3 linked regions of the Macaca fascicularis genome follow. The protein of the gene in region 1 interacts with the protein of each later gene in a pairwise test. Links are inferred from orthologs where the notes say so. Each region holds a gene or a part of one and is shown on either strand. Other genes may lie near its edges.

What was found. The genes of interacting proteins can lie anywhere in the genome.
Region 2: the proteins of melanoma-associated antigen 1 (region 1) and MIEF1 interact in binary tests that used the Homo sapiens proteins (3 or more experiments, as listed by UniProt). The two-hybrid records come from large-scale screens. The link is inferred for Macaca fascicularis from reciprocal best matches to the Homo sapiens genes MAGEA1 and MIEF1.
Region 3: the proteins of melanoma-associated antigen 1 (region 1) and SELPLG interact in a two-hybrid assay, tested with the Homo sapiens proteins (2 studies listed by BioGRID). The two-hybrid records come from large-scale screens. The link is inferred for Macaca fascicularis from reciprocal best matches to the Homo sapiens genes MAGEA1 and SELPLG.

Annotation. Positions count from the first base shown.
Region 1 is NC_088395.1:159,218,399-159,221,335, forward strand, and holds melanoma-associated antigen 1, read left to right. Parts: upstream 1-1,310; 5' UTR 1,311-1,342; coding exon 1,343-2,293; downstream 2,294-2,937.
Region 2 is NC_088384.1:12,142,741-12,147,138, reverse strand, and holds the start of MIEF1 (mitochondrial dynamics protein MIEF1), read left to right. Parts: upstream 1-1,590; 5' UTR 1,591-1,681; intron 1,682-3,434; 5' UTR 3,435-3,462; coding exon of another isoform or gene 3,463-3,675; 5' UTR 3,676-3,766; intron 3,767-4,398. Other genes in the region: MIURF (mitochondrial ribosome and complex I assembly factor AltMIEF1), read left to right, coding at 3,463-3,675. UniProt on the Homo sapiens protein: Mitochondrial outer membrane protein which regulates mitochondrial fission/fusion dynamics.
Region 3 is NC_088385.1:115,471,803-115,475,913, forward strand, and holds the start of SELPLG (P-selectin glycoprotein ligand 1), read right to left. Parts: upstream 2,809-4,111; 5' UTR 2,626-2,808; coding exon 2,583-2,625; intron 1-2,582. UniProt on the Homo sapiens protein: A SLe(x)-type proteoglycan, which through high affinity, calcium-dependent interactions with E-, P- and L-selectins, mediates rapid rolling of leukocytes over vascular surfaces during the initial steps in inflammation.

The DNA of each region.
Region 1 (2,937 bases):
GGAGCCCGCAAGGAGATGGGGTCTTGGGGTAAAGGGGGGATGTCTACCCATCTCAGGGAATTGGGGGTTGAGGAAGCACAGGCTTTGGCAGGAATAAAGATGAGTGAGCCAGACAAGGCTATTGGAATCCTCACCCCAGAACCAAAGGGGTCAGCCCTGGACACTTCACCCAGGGTGTGGCATCTTCTTACTCCTGTTTCCAGATCTCAGAGAGGTGAGGACCTTGTTCTCAGAGGGTGACTCGGGTCAACATAGGGACCCCCATCTGGTCTAAAGACAGAGCAGTCCTACGATCTGCCATGCATTTGGGTGAGGAACATGAGGGAGGATTGAGGATACCCCAGGGCCAGAACACTGACAGAGACCGCACAGAAATCAGCTCTGCCCCTGCTGTCACCCCAGAGAGCATGGGCTGGGTCGTCTGCCAAGGTCCCTCTCTTATCTTGGGATCATTGATGTCAGGGAGGGGGAGGCCTTGATCTGAGAAGGCTTCACTCAGGTCAGTAGAGGGAGAGTCCCAGGCCCTGCCAGGAGTCAAGGTGAGGACCAAACAGGCGCCTCACCCAGGACACATTAATTCCAATGAATTTTGATATCTCTTGCTGTCCTTCCCCGAGGACCTAGGCCCGAGTGGCCAGATGTGGGTCCCCTCCTGTCTTTCTGTTCCTTATCATGGATGTGAGCTCTTTATTTGGATTTCTCAGACCAGCAAAAGGGTGGGATCCAGGTCCTGCCAGGAAAAATGCAAGGGCCCTGCGTGAGAACAGAGGGGATCATCCACCGCATGAGAGTGGGGATGTCACAGAGTCCAGCCCACCCTCCTAATAGCACTGAGGGCCCAGGGCTGTGCTTGCAGTCTGCACCCTGAGGGCCCGTGGATTCCTCTTCCAGGAGCTCCAAGAACCAGGCAGTGAGGCCTTGGTTTGAGACAGTGTCCTCAGATCACAGAGCAGAGGACGCACAGGCTGTGCCAGCAGTCAACGTTTGCCCTGAATGCACACCAAGGGCCCCGCCTGCCGCAGGACACATGGAACTCCACAGAGTCTGGCCTCACCTCCCTACCGTCAGTCCTGTAGAATCGACCTCTGCTGGCCGGCTGTACCCTGAGTGCCCTCTCACTTCCTCCTTCAGGTTTTCAGGGGACAGGCCAACCTGGAGGACAGGATTCCCTGGAGGCCACAGAGGAGCACCAAGGAGAAGATCTGTAAGTAGGCCTTTATTAGAGTCTCCAAGGTTCAGTTCTCAGCTGAGGCCTCTCACACACTCCCTCTCTCTCCAGGCCCGTGGGTCTTCATTGCCCAGCTCCTGTACACTCCTGCCTGCTGCCCTGACCAGAGTCATCATGTCTCTTGAGCAGAGGAGTCTGCACTACAAGCCTGAGGAAGCCCTTGAGGCCCAACAAGAGGCCCTGGGGCTGGTGTGTGTGCAGGCTGCCGCCTCCTCCTCCTCTCCTCTGGTCCTGGGCACCCTGGAGGAGGTGCCTACTGCTGGGTCAACAGATCCCCCCCAGACTCCTCAGGGAGCCTCCGCCTTTCCCACTACCATCAACTTCCCTCGCTGGAGGCAACCCAATGAGAGTTCCAGCAGCCATGAAGAAGAAGGGCCAAGCACCTCGCGTGTCCTGGAGTCCTTGTTCCGAGCAGTACTCACTAAGAAGGTGGCTGATTTGGTTCGTTTTCTGCTCCTCAAGTATCGAGCCAGGGAGCCGGTCACAAAGGCAGAAATGCTGGAGAGAGTCATCAAAAATTACAAGCACTGCTTTCCTGTGATCTTCGGCAAAGCCTCTGAGTCCTTGCAACTGGTCTTTGGCATTGACGTGAAGGAAGCAGACTCCACCGGCCACTCCTATGTCCTTGTCACCTGCCTGGGGCTCTCCTATGACGGCCTGCTGGGTGATAATCAGATCATGCCCAAGACAGGCTTCCTGATAATCATCCTGGTTATGATTGCAATGGAGGGCGGCCGTGCTCCTGAGGAGGAAATCTGGGAAGAGCTGAATGTGATGGAGGTGTATGATGGGAGGGAGCACAGTGCCTATGGGGAGCCCAGGAAGCTGCTCACCCAAGATTTGGTGCAGGAAAAGTACCTGGAGTACCGGCAGGTGCCCTACAGTGATCCTGCACGCTATGAGTTCCTGTGGGGTCCAAGGGCCCTCGCTGAAACCAGCTATGTGAAAGTCCTTGAGTATGTGATCAAGGTCAGTGCAAGAGTTCGCTTTTTCTTCCCATCCCTGCGTGAAGCAGCTTTGAGACAGGAGGGAGCAGCTTTGAGAGAGGATGAAGAGGGAGTCTGAACATGAGTTGCAGCCAAGGCCAGTGGGAGGGGGGCTGGGCTAGTGCACCTTCAAGGACCGTGTCCAGCAGCTTTCCCTGCCTCGTGTGATGTGAGGCCCATTCTTCACTCTGTTTGAAGAGAGCAGTCAGCATTCTCAGTAGTAGGTTTCTGTTCTATTGGATGACTTGGAGATTTATCTTTGTTCTCTTTTGGAATTGTTCAAGTGTTCCTTTTAAGGAATGGTTGAATGAACTTCAGCATCCAAGTTTATGAATGACAGTAGTCACACATAGTGCCGTGTATATAGTTGAGTAGTAAGAGTCTTGTGTTTCATTCAGATTGGGAAATCCATTCTATTTTGTGAATTGGGATAATAACAGCAGTGGAATAAGTATTTACTTAGAAATGTGAAAAATGAGCAGTAAAATAGATGAGATAAAGAACTAAAGAAATTAAGAGATAGTCAATTCTTTTTTTTTTTTTTTTTTTTTTTTTTTGAGACGGAGTCTCACTCTGTCGCCCAGGCTGGAGTGCAGTGGCGCGATCTCGGCTCACTGCAAGCTCCGCTTCCCGGGTTCACGCCATTCTCCTGCCTCAGCCTCCCGAGTAGCTGGGAGTACAGGCGCCCACAACCACGCCCGGCTAATTTTTTGTATTTTTAGT
Region 2 (4,398 bases), on another chromosome or scaffold:
GTTCCATTCCATTACTCTCAAGCCAGACGCATCCTGTTGAAAGGGAAGTCAGATCCCAGCACTTCTTGGCTCCGAACCCTGCTGTGGGTCCTTTGCACCCACCATATCCCTCCCAGTTCTGATAAGGGCCTCTTTCCCAGCTCCCGCTCACCTGGCTGCGAAAGCACTGGCCTTCGTCCTGCTGCTCCTAGACCACATTGAGCTTAAGGGCATACCTGGGGGCAGGCCTGAAATGCTCTTCCCTGCCATGTTCTTCTCCTGGTTCTTGTCCTTTTGATAGCCTGACTATTCTGTAATTGCCCACCCCTCTCCTGGTAGATATTACCTTTTAATCCTCACCACAGCCCCAAGGCTGGGAGAGGTTAGGAAACTTGGCAGAGGGCAGCTGTCCCTAAGTGGTGGAACTGGAACTAGGAGCTAGCAGTGGCCCTGTGGCCCCGGACTCCAAAGCCCCAGGCCTTGGGCTTGGCTGAGCCAGGTACGGAGGGAGGCACTTGGGAGAGGGGACTTCCACAGAGAAACCACCTGGGTCCTCAAATCCAGTGAGAGACAGAGAAGCAAATGGATAAATTACAGTGCCTGGCAAATGGTAGGCGCCAATAAATACGTTTTGTTGTTGAACAGATTATGAGCCTTAAGATGTGCAGACGGCCGGGCGCGGTGGCTCACGCCTGTAATCCCAGCACTTTGGGAGGCCGAGGCGGGCGGATCACGAGGTCAGGAGATTAAGACCACGGTGAAACCCCGTCTCTACTAAAAATACAAAAAATTAGCCGGGCGCGGTGGCGGGCGCCTGTAGTCCCAGCTACTCGGGAGGCTGAGGCAGGAGAATGGCGTGAACCCAGGAGGCGGAGCTTGCAGTGAGCCAGGATCGCGCCACTGCACTCCAGCTTGGGCGACAGAGCGAGACTCCGTCTCAAAAAAAAAAAAAGATGTGCAGACATTTCCGTGGGGCCTAAAGAAGACACATGAGTGTATTAGAGGGAGCGAGGAAGGGGCTGGGAGAGATTTCCCAGTGAAGGGGGACATTTGAGGTACACTTTGAAGGAAGGGTAGGAGTTTGCTAGAAGCCACGCGGCCTGGGGAGTAGGAACAGCATGGAGGAAAGAAGTCGAAAAGAAGTCGATGTGAGAAAATAGGTTTGGAGGAGCTCTAAATATTAGTGTTAGAATTCCCTCAGGTACCCCAGGACCCCAGCCAGAGATCAGCAGACGGTACAGGAGGCTGGCCAGGCACCCCGGACAAGCTAAGGGGCTGCCAGCAGGTGAGGGGCCTAGCGGGTGCGGCAGCCTCGTTGGACAGCGAGGGTACCTCCTGCCCTCTAACCTTCTGCCAGCATCGGGACCACCCCGGTACCCACAGCCGGACCCAGACAGCGGAATCCTCTAGGGACAGGGCGCGAGTGGCCTCTGCAGGCCCGTCCCTTGGTGAGGTCACACACGGAGGCGGGGCTCAGGATTGGGGGGCGGAATCATGCGCAGGGGGCGGGGCCCGAGAGAGAGCTTGGAGGAGACCGGAAGTCCCTCCGCCTCCGCCCGCCCTCGTGCTCCCTTCAGCCCCTTCGTAGCTCAGTGCGCAAGGTCGTGTCCCGGAAGTGAAGGGGCCATGTTGATGGGTGACCCGGGGAGAGGTACCCGGCCGGAGGCGAGTCCTGCGGAGTGGTAGCGCGCGCGGCCTGCGGGTGAGTGAGGGGAGGAATGAGGACCGGCGGCTGCTGGGTGGCCGGGAGGTTGCGGCGCCTCCTCTCAGGCTGCTGCCGGCGCCTCGCATGCGGCCCGGACCCAGGAGACCGGCCTGCAGCCGGTGGTCTCGCCCCATCCCGTCCTGGGCTTTCCCCTGGGAGGCCCCTTGGCGGCCCCGCCCCGCCCCAACCTCGGAGACTTCCCGGGTCCCGGAGCAGGGCTGCCCTGGCCTCTGGGCCTCCGCACCCCGGCCCGGCCCCCAGGGTTGGGGAAGTGCAGACGGGCTGGGGCTCAGCCGCCCACTCTCCTAGCGACCTTGTAGTTACAGCCCTCGCCGTGACAGTCGGCTTTTGCCTCATCAAACACTTCTGTTGATTTTCTACATCGGAAGGCCGAGGGAGCTCTTAAACAGTTGAGGAAAAATGGACAGAGATGGTGGCTTGCTCAGGCTTGCGCAGGAAGTTAGCAAGGCCGGAGGCTAAGGGCTAGCGGACTTTGGGCCCAAAGTCCGATCTTTTTTTCCAGCCAAATACTTCCCCCACTCGGTGTCATTTCTTTATTTCTGAAACGGAGGTGATCATTTTTTCCACATAGGGACGTTGTGAAATTCTCTCCTTCGTTAAACATAATTTTGAGCCCCTTGTATGTGCCAAGCGCTGTGCTAGGAAAGTTCGCGGAGCACCCAGAAGTGCTGTACACATGGTCCGGCTCCAGCAAAGGGTAACTCATTCCAGAGGCAGGCAGAGTTGGGGTCAGGAGTGCAGCCCTCCCCTTGACAGTTGTGGGCCCGCGGGCAAGTTACTTCCCTCTGGGAGATTGTTTCCTCCACTTAAAATGGGGTAATGTTGACCCTAGGGTAGCTGACAGAATGAGTTGTTACGTGAGACATGCTTCAAACATTGTACATTGTGTATAGTGCAATATAGTGCAATAAGCATTTACTGTTACTAAGAACCCTGACCACCTCCTAGATTGTTAGTGTAAATGTGACAATGGGCAACAAAGCACTTTACAGATACGCTTGTGTAAGGGTTTATTGTTACTGAAGGAAGGCAGTGGCAGTTTATACTTAAATGTAATTGTTTATTGAGCATCTACAAACCTGGCTAGGTGGTACTAATAACAGCTGCTGTTGATAGAGTGCTTAGTGTGTGCCAAGTGCTGTTCTAAACATGTTCACATACATTAAATTCATCTAGTGCTTATGCCAACCATATGGGCAAAATAAGATTTTTATCCTCACTTTATAGATGAGGAACTGAGACAGGCACAGAGAGGTTAGGAGACTTGCCCACGGTAGTGCAGCTCGCAAGTGCTGATGCCAGGATTTAAGTATGGCTGAGTGCTTGTCTTCAGCCCTCCTAGATCACCCCCTGTGGTGAAGTTGTATTACCGTTCTTTACATGCACAGTTCTCAAAATATAACCCTATGTGGTAGGTACTATTGCCATAATATCCTAATCTCCATTTTGTAAGTGAGGACGCTGGTGCTCAGTGGGGATTCAGTCCTTTGCCCAAAGTCATATGGCACGTAAGTGGCAGGGCCAGGATTTGAGCCCTGGTGAACCACAACCTGTATGTTTCCAGAATGGGCATCCAGAGGCCGGGGTCTCTAGTCCTAGTCTTGCCATTAAGTCATAAGGTGATCTAGGGGGTCTCTGGAACTTGGATTAAAAATGTCTTATAGTCTCTACAGGTCCTTTTGTTATTAATTCTGATACTAGGCTTGTATGTCTTTCCTTCTGTTTATAGTGTGACACCCAGCCCCTGCCAGTCCCCCATGGCCCGGTGGAGCCGAGCAGCGGTGCTGAGTCTCTATCGGGCTCTGTTGCGCCAGGGCCGACAGCTTCGCTACACTGATCGAGACTTCTACTTTGCCTCCATCCGCCGTGAATTCCGAAAACATCAGAAGCTAGAGGACCCTGAGGCCCGGGAGAGGCAGCTGGAGAAGGGCCTGGTCTTTCTCAACGGCAAATTGGGGAGGATCATTTAGGATCCTCCAAGGGAAAGAGGACAAAGGTGCCTTCTGTAGACACTCCTGCTCTCTCCCATCCCCACCATACAGATGCATTAAGAAGCCTCAGGTATGTAGGCCCTTATTCCTGTAGGTTTCGTTATTTTTTTGTTGCAAGGGACCGAGAAAAGGATCAAAGTCGTCCTTTTAGTCATTAGAAATCAGTGGAGAGCCAGGTGCGCTGGTGTGCATCTATAGTCCCAGCTCTGCAGGAGGCTGAGGCAGGAGGATGGCTTGAGCCCAGGAGGTTGAGGCTGCAGTGAGCTATGATTGCATCACTGCACTCCAGGCTGGGTGACAGAATGGGACCCTATCTCTGGGGGAAAAAAAAAAAAAGGCCGGGCGTGGTGGCTCACGCCTGTAATCCCAGCATTTTGGGAGGCCGAGACGGGCGGATCATGAGGTCAGGAGATCGAGACCATCCTGGCTAACATGGTGAAACCCCGTCTCTACAAAAAATACAAAAAAAAAAATTAGCCAGGCGTAGTAGCGGGCACCTGTAGTCCCAGCTACTCGGGAGGCTGAGGCAGGAGAATGGCGTGAACCCGGGAGGCGGAGCTTGCAGTGAACCCAGATCGCGCCACCGCACTCTAGCCTGGGCAACTGAGCAAGACTCCGTCTTGGAAAAAAAAAAAAAAAAAGAGGACATTTGAGGTCTGCCTCAAATGAGAAATAGAGGCTTATCAGCAGCGGGGCAGGGAA
Region 3 (4,111 bases), on another chromosome or scaffold:
CCCCAGAAACTCCTCACTCCCAGGCAAACTGGGTGTGGGGGAGTGTTGGTCACCCCAGCCTGGTCCCTGCATCCCATGGGCTTGAAGACACAGCAGCCTGGAGCCAGGCCACAGCTGAGCAGGCATCGGCCCGTCTAACAGAAAGAAAATCTGAGGCTCAGCCAGGCATGGTGCCTCAACCTTGTACTCCTAGCACTTTGGAAGGCCAAGGTAGGAGGATGACTTGAAGCCAGGGGTTCAAGACCAGCCTGGGCAACATAGTGAGACCCCGTCTCTACAAAAAAATTAAACATTAGTCAGGTATGCTGGTGCATGCCTGTCATCCCAGCTACTCAGGAGGCTGAGGGCAGAGGATGGCTTGAGCCCAGGTCAAGGCTGCAGTGAGCTATGATCACACCACTGCACTCCAGCCTGGGTGACAGAGTAAGACCCTGTCTCTAAGAAAAAAAAAAAAGACATATTTTTTTTAATGAAATAAAAGAAAACCTGAGGCTCCGAGAGATCTTGTCTCAGCTGAGGCCACGCAGGTAGAACGGGGAGGAGCAGAGTTTGCTTACTGTGTATGGCAGGCAGCATAACGCCTCCTTCATATTTGCTAGAGTAAATGTATTAAACAACAACAAAAATGACATATGCAGAAGCCCCTCCCGTGGAGGGATGACTTCCTCGTCTCACTGGCTGCTGACCTCGGTCCTCCTCAGCCTGTGTCCGCTGGCTCTAACGGTGCCATCACACCGATCAGCAAGCAAGGCCCAGAGCGGCGGGGTCGCTCCCAGGCCCCACCTTCCACCTCTCCTCTCGCCGGAAGGCAAAAAAAACAGTCCCACAGTAGAGGGCCAGGGCAGGGCCCCGACAGAGGGGTCTCCAGTGGCCACATCCTACTTGTCTCAACACCTGCCTAACGGAGTAGGTCAGAGACTGCTCGTTTTGCCTCTTTGGCCCTAAAACCAGGCTGCTTCTGGCCCAGGCGCCATCTAGACCCCATGTGGGCCGCATCTAGGCTGTGTGGAGGAGCAGGCTGCAGGGAGCCCAGACTCCAGCTCCAGAGACCCCGCCGTGTGGCCGTCCTGAGCGACTCAGGAAAGATCCTCGGGGGGCTCCACGTTGCTGGGAACCTTGCACTGAGAATCCTGAAACTGGGAATCAGAGCAGGCAGGATCTTGGAATGTTAAAATTCAAAAGACTGAGCATCTCAGGGTTTGGGTCAAGTAGTCACCAAGAGAAGGAAAGCCCCCAGATAACTGAAGCACAGGCAGCAGATCTGAGTCTGGGTAGACAGGACACACCTCGCCCTGCCCTGACCTGGAGTCACATCAAACCAGGTCAATCCCAGCTCTGTCCCTTAGAAGCTGTGTGACCTTGGGCAACTCACCTCACCTCTCTGAGTTGTGGGTTCCTTAGCTGGAATACAAGGACAACGGTAGCCCCCGCTTTTTATGGAGTTGTTGTGGGTTGAAGAGGGCCAGGGAAATGCCAAGTCCTCCCAGAAGCCTTTCCAGATTGCCCCAGGCATGATTAGTCACCTCCCGTGTTTACATCATTTCTGCTGTTCATTTACTTTCTAAAAATGTATTCACATTGACTCCTAAACTTCCAGAATACAAGAACTACAGCTGTCTTGCTGATCAGGCCACAGGCCCAGGATTTAGCCGACAGGCAGGCACACACCTCTCGAAATGCTTGTCCCGGTGGCTGGCAGCCACAGTGGCTGTCTGCTCTGCTGCCCCCACCAGACCAGAAGTTTTCGGAGGGCAGGAGCTCTCCTGGCATCCCCAGGGGCCTCACTAAATGCCTCTGCAGAAGAGGACATGTGACCGAGGCAGGGGGACGTGCATAGCACCGCACAGCACGTGCTGTCTTCAGACTTTTCACACCACGTTAGACAGCTGACACCTTCCAACCTCTTTCCATCATCTACTCCAACTCACATCAGGGAGCCACTGTAGACGTGGTTTCCCTAATTATCATCCCCCTCATGACATGTTTATTTATTTATTTACTTTTAGAGATAGGGTCTGGCTCAGTCGCCCAGGCTGGAGTACAGTGGTGCAATCACAGCTCACTGCAGCCTTGAACTCCTGGACTCAAGCGATCCTCCAAGTAGCTAGGACTACAGGTGCGTGCCACCAGACCCAGCTACTTTTAAATTTTTTGTAGAGATGGGTTTTCACCGTGTTGCCCAGGTTGGTGTCAAACTCCTGGGCTCAAGAAATCCAGCTGCTTCAGCCTCCCAAAGTGCTAGGATTTACAGGCCTGAGCCACCGTCACCAGCCCTCCTCACAAAACGTTAATAGCACAGATATGCTGTATATCTGTTTAACGTTTGGTGGCTTACAAACCACAGTGTTAGTAGAGATTTTTTGTTACACCCCACTCCCCCCACCTCCAGCCCGCCAAGAACCAAGTTACACCTGTTGGAACCCAAATTTGCTAGCCTGACACAGAGGCAGTAAGGTACTTGGCACAAATGAATTCAATGAGACCTACATGTGGTTAGTTGAACAACTGTCTTTAAACAGTTTTCTAAAGACCCCTGTGCAGACAGACAGATTAACAAACACAGACCCCCAACACACACACACCGGCCATCTTATCTCCTTCTAGACCACTGGCCCCCACTGCCATCTTCCTGTTCAAGTTCAGCAAAGGAGATCGAGACACAGGCCTAGGGTCACCACGAACTCCACGAGCATCCTGCAGCCAGAAGCCACGCCGCCAGAGGCAGCTACTTCTCCCCTGCGAGCCTCAGTTTTCTCATCTGGAAAAGGGGCACCATCCACCCTCCAAGGTTCTCAGATGATTGATTCTGCAGCTCCTCCGAATGCCCCGCTCTGGGCCCAGCCCGGTAGCCCAGCCCTTCCGCTGAGGTTTAACTCCCCTGGCTGCTGGCCAAGCCTCTTGAGGGAGGCATCAACCGCCCAGGGTGCCGCCTCCCTAGGCAACCCCAGAGGAAGAGACTCTGGGGCCGTCCGAGGGCCTTGGAGCCACCTTCTGAAGCTCCGGCCCACTGAAGGGCCTGGCTCTGGGGGCCTCAAAGTCAGAGGTGGAAAAAAAAGGAAAACAGAAGAAAGAGGAAAGAGGAAGAGAATTCCAGGCAACAGAAGCCCAGATACAGACACTATGGTGTGTGTGTGAATGTGTATACAGCAGGGCGCAACCAGCCCCCACCTTTTCCTTTTAGTGTTCTGAAAGTATCTCAAATACAAACTAATAAGAGTATTCTAATTTTTTTTCTTTTTTTTTGAGACGGGGTCTCACTCTGCCACCCAGGTTGGAGTGCAGTGGCACAATCTTGGCTCACTGCAACCTCCCCCTCCCAGGTTCAAGTGATCCTCCCACTTCAGCCTCCCAAGTAGCTGAGACCACAGGCATACACCACTATGCCTAGCTAAGGTTTTGTATTTTTGGTAGAGACGAGGTTTCACCATGTTGCCCAGCTTGGTCTCGAACTCCTGAGCTCAGGCGATCCACCTGCCTCGGTCTCCCAAAGTGCTGGGATTACAGGTGTGAGCCACTGCACCCAGCCAAGTATTCTAAGTATTATTATTGTTTTCCCTTTTGCTAACAATAGTATCCTAATTCTAATATTTTAATAGTTTGCCACAGACAAGTGTCATTTTCTCAGTCTTATAAAAAGTGGGAAGAATGCATCTTTCTCTGAAAATCACTTTTTTTTTTTTTTTTTTTGAGACGGAGTCTTGCTCTGTTGCCCAGGCTGGAGTGCAGTGGCCGGATCTCAGCTCACTGCAAACTCCGCCTCCCGGGTTCACGCCATTCTCCTGCCTCAGCCTCCCGAGTAGCTGGGACTACAGGCGCCCGCCACCTCGCCCGGCTAGTTTTTTTGTATTTTTTAGTAGAGACGGGGTTTCACCATGTTAGCCAGGATGGTCTCGATCTCCTGACCTCGTGATCTGCCCGTCTCGGCCTCCTAGAGTGCTGGGATTACAGGCTTGAGCCACCGCGCCCGGCCCTGAAAATCACTTTTTTATGCATCCATAAAATATGCGGCTTCAATACCAATCCTGCACTCCCTCTACTTTCTGGAATCTTCCAGACCTAATCTCAGCTCCGCCCCTAAACAAATCCCTTCACCTCTCCTGGCCTCAGTCTC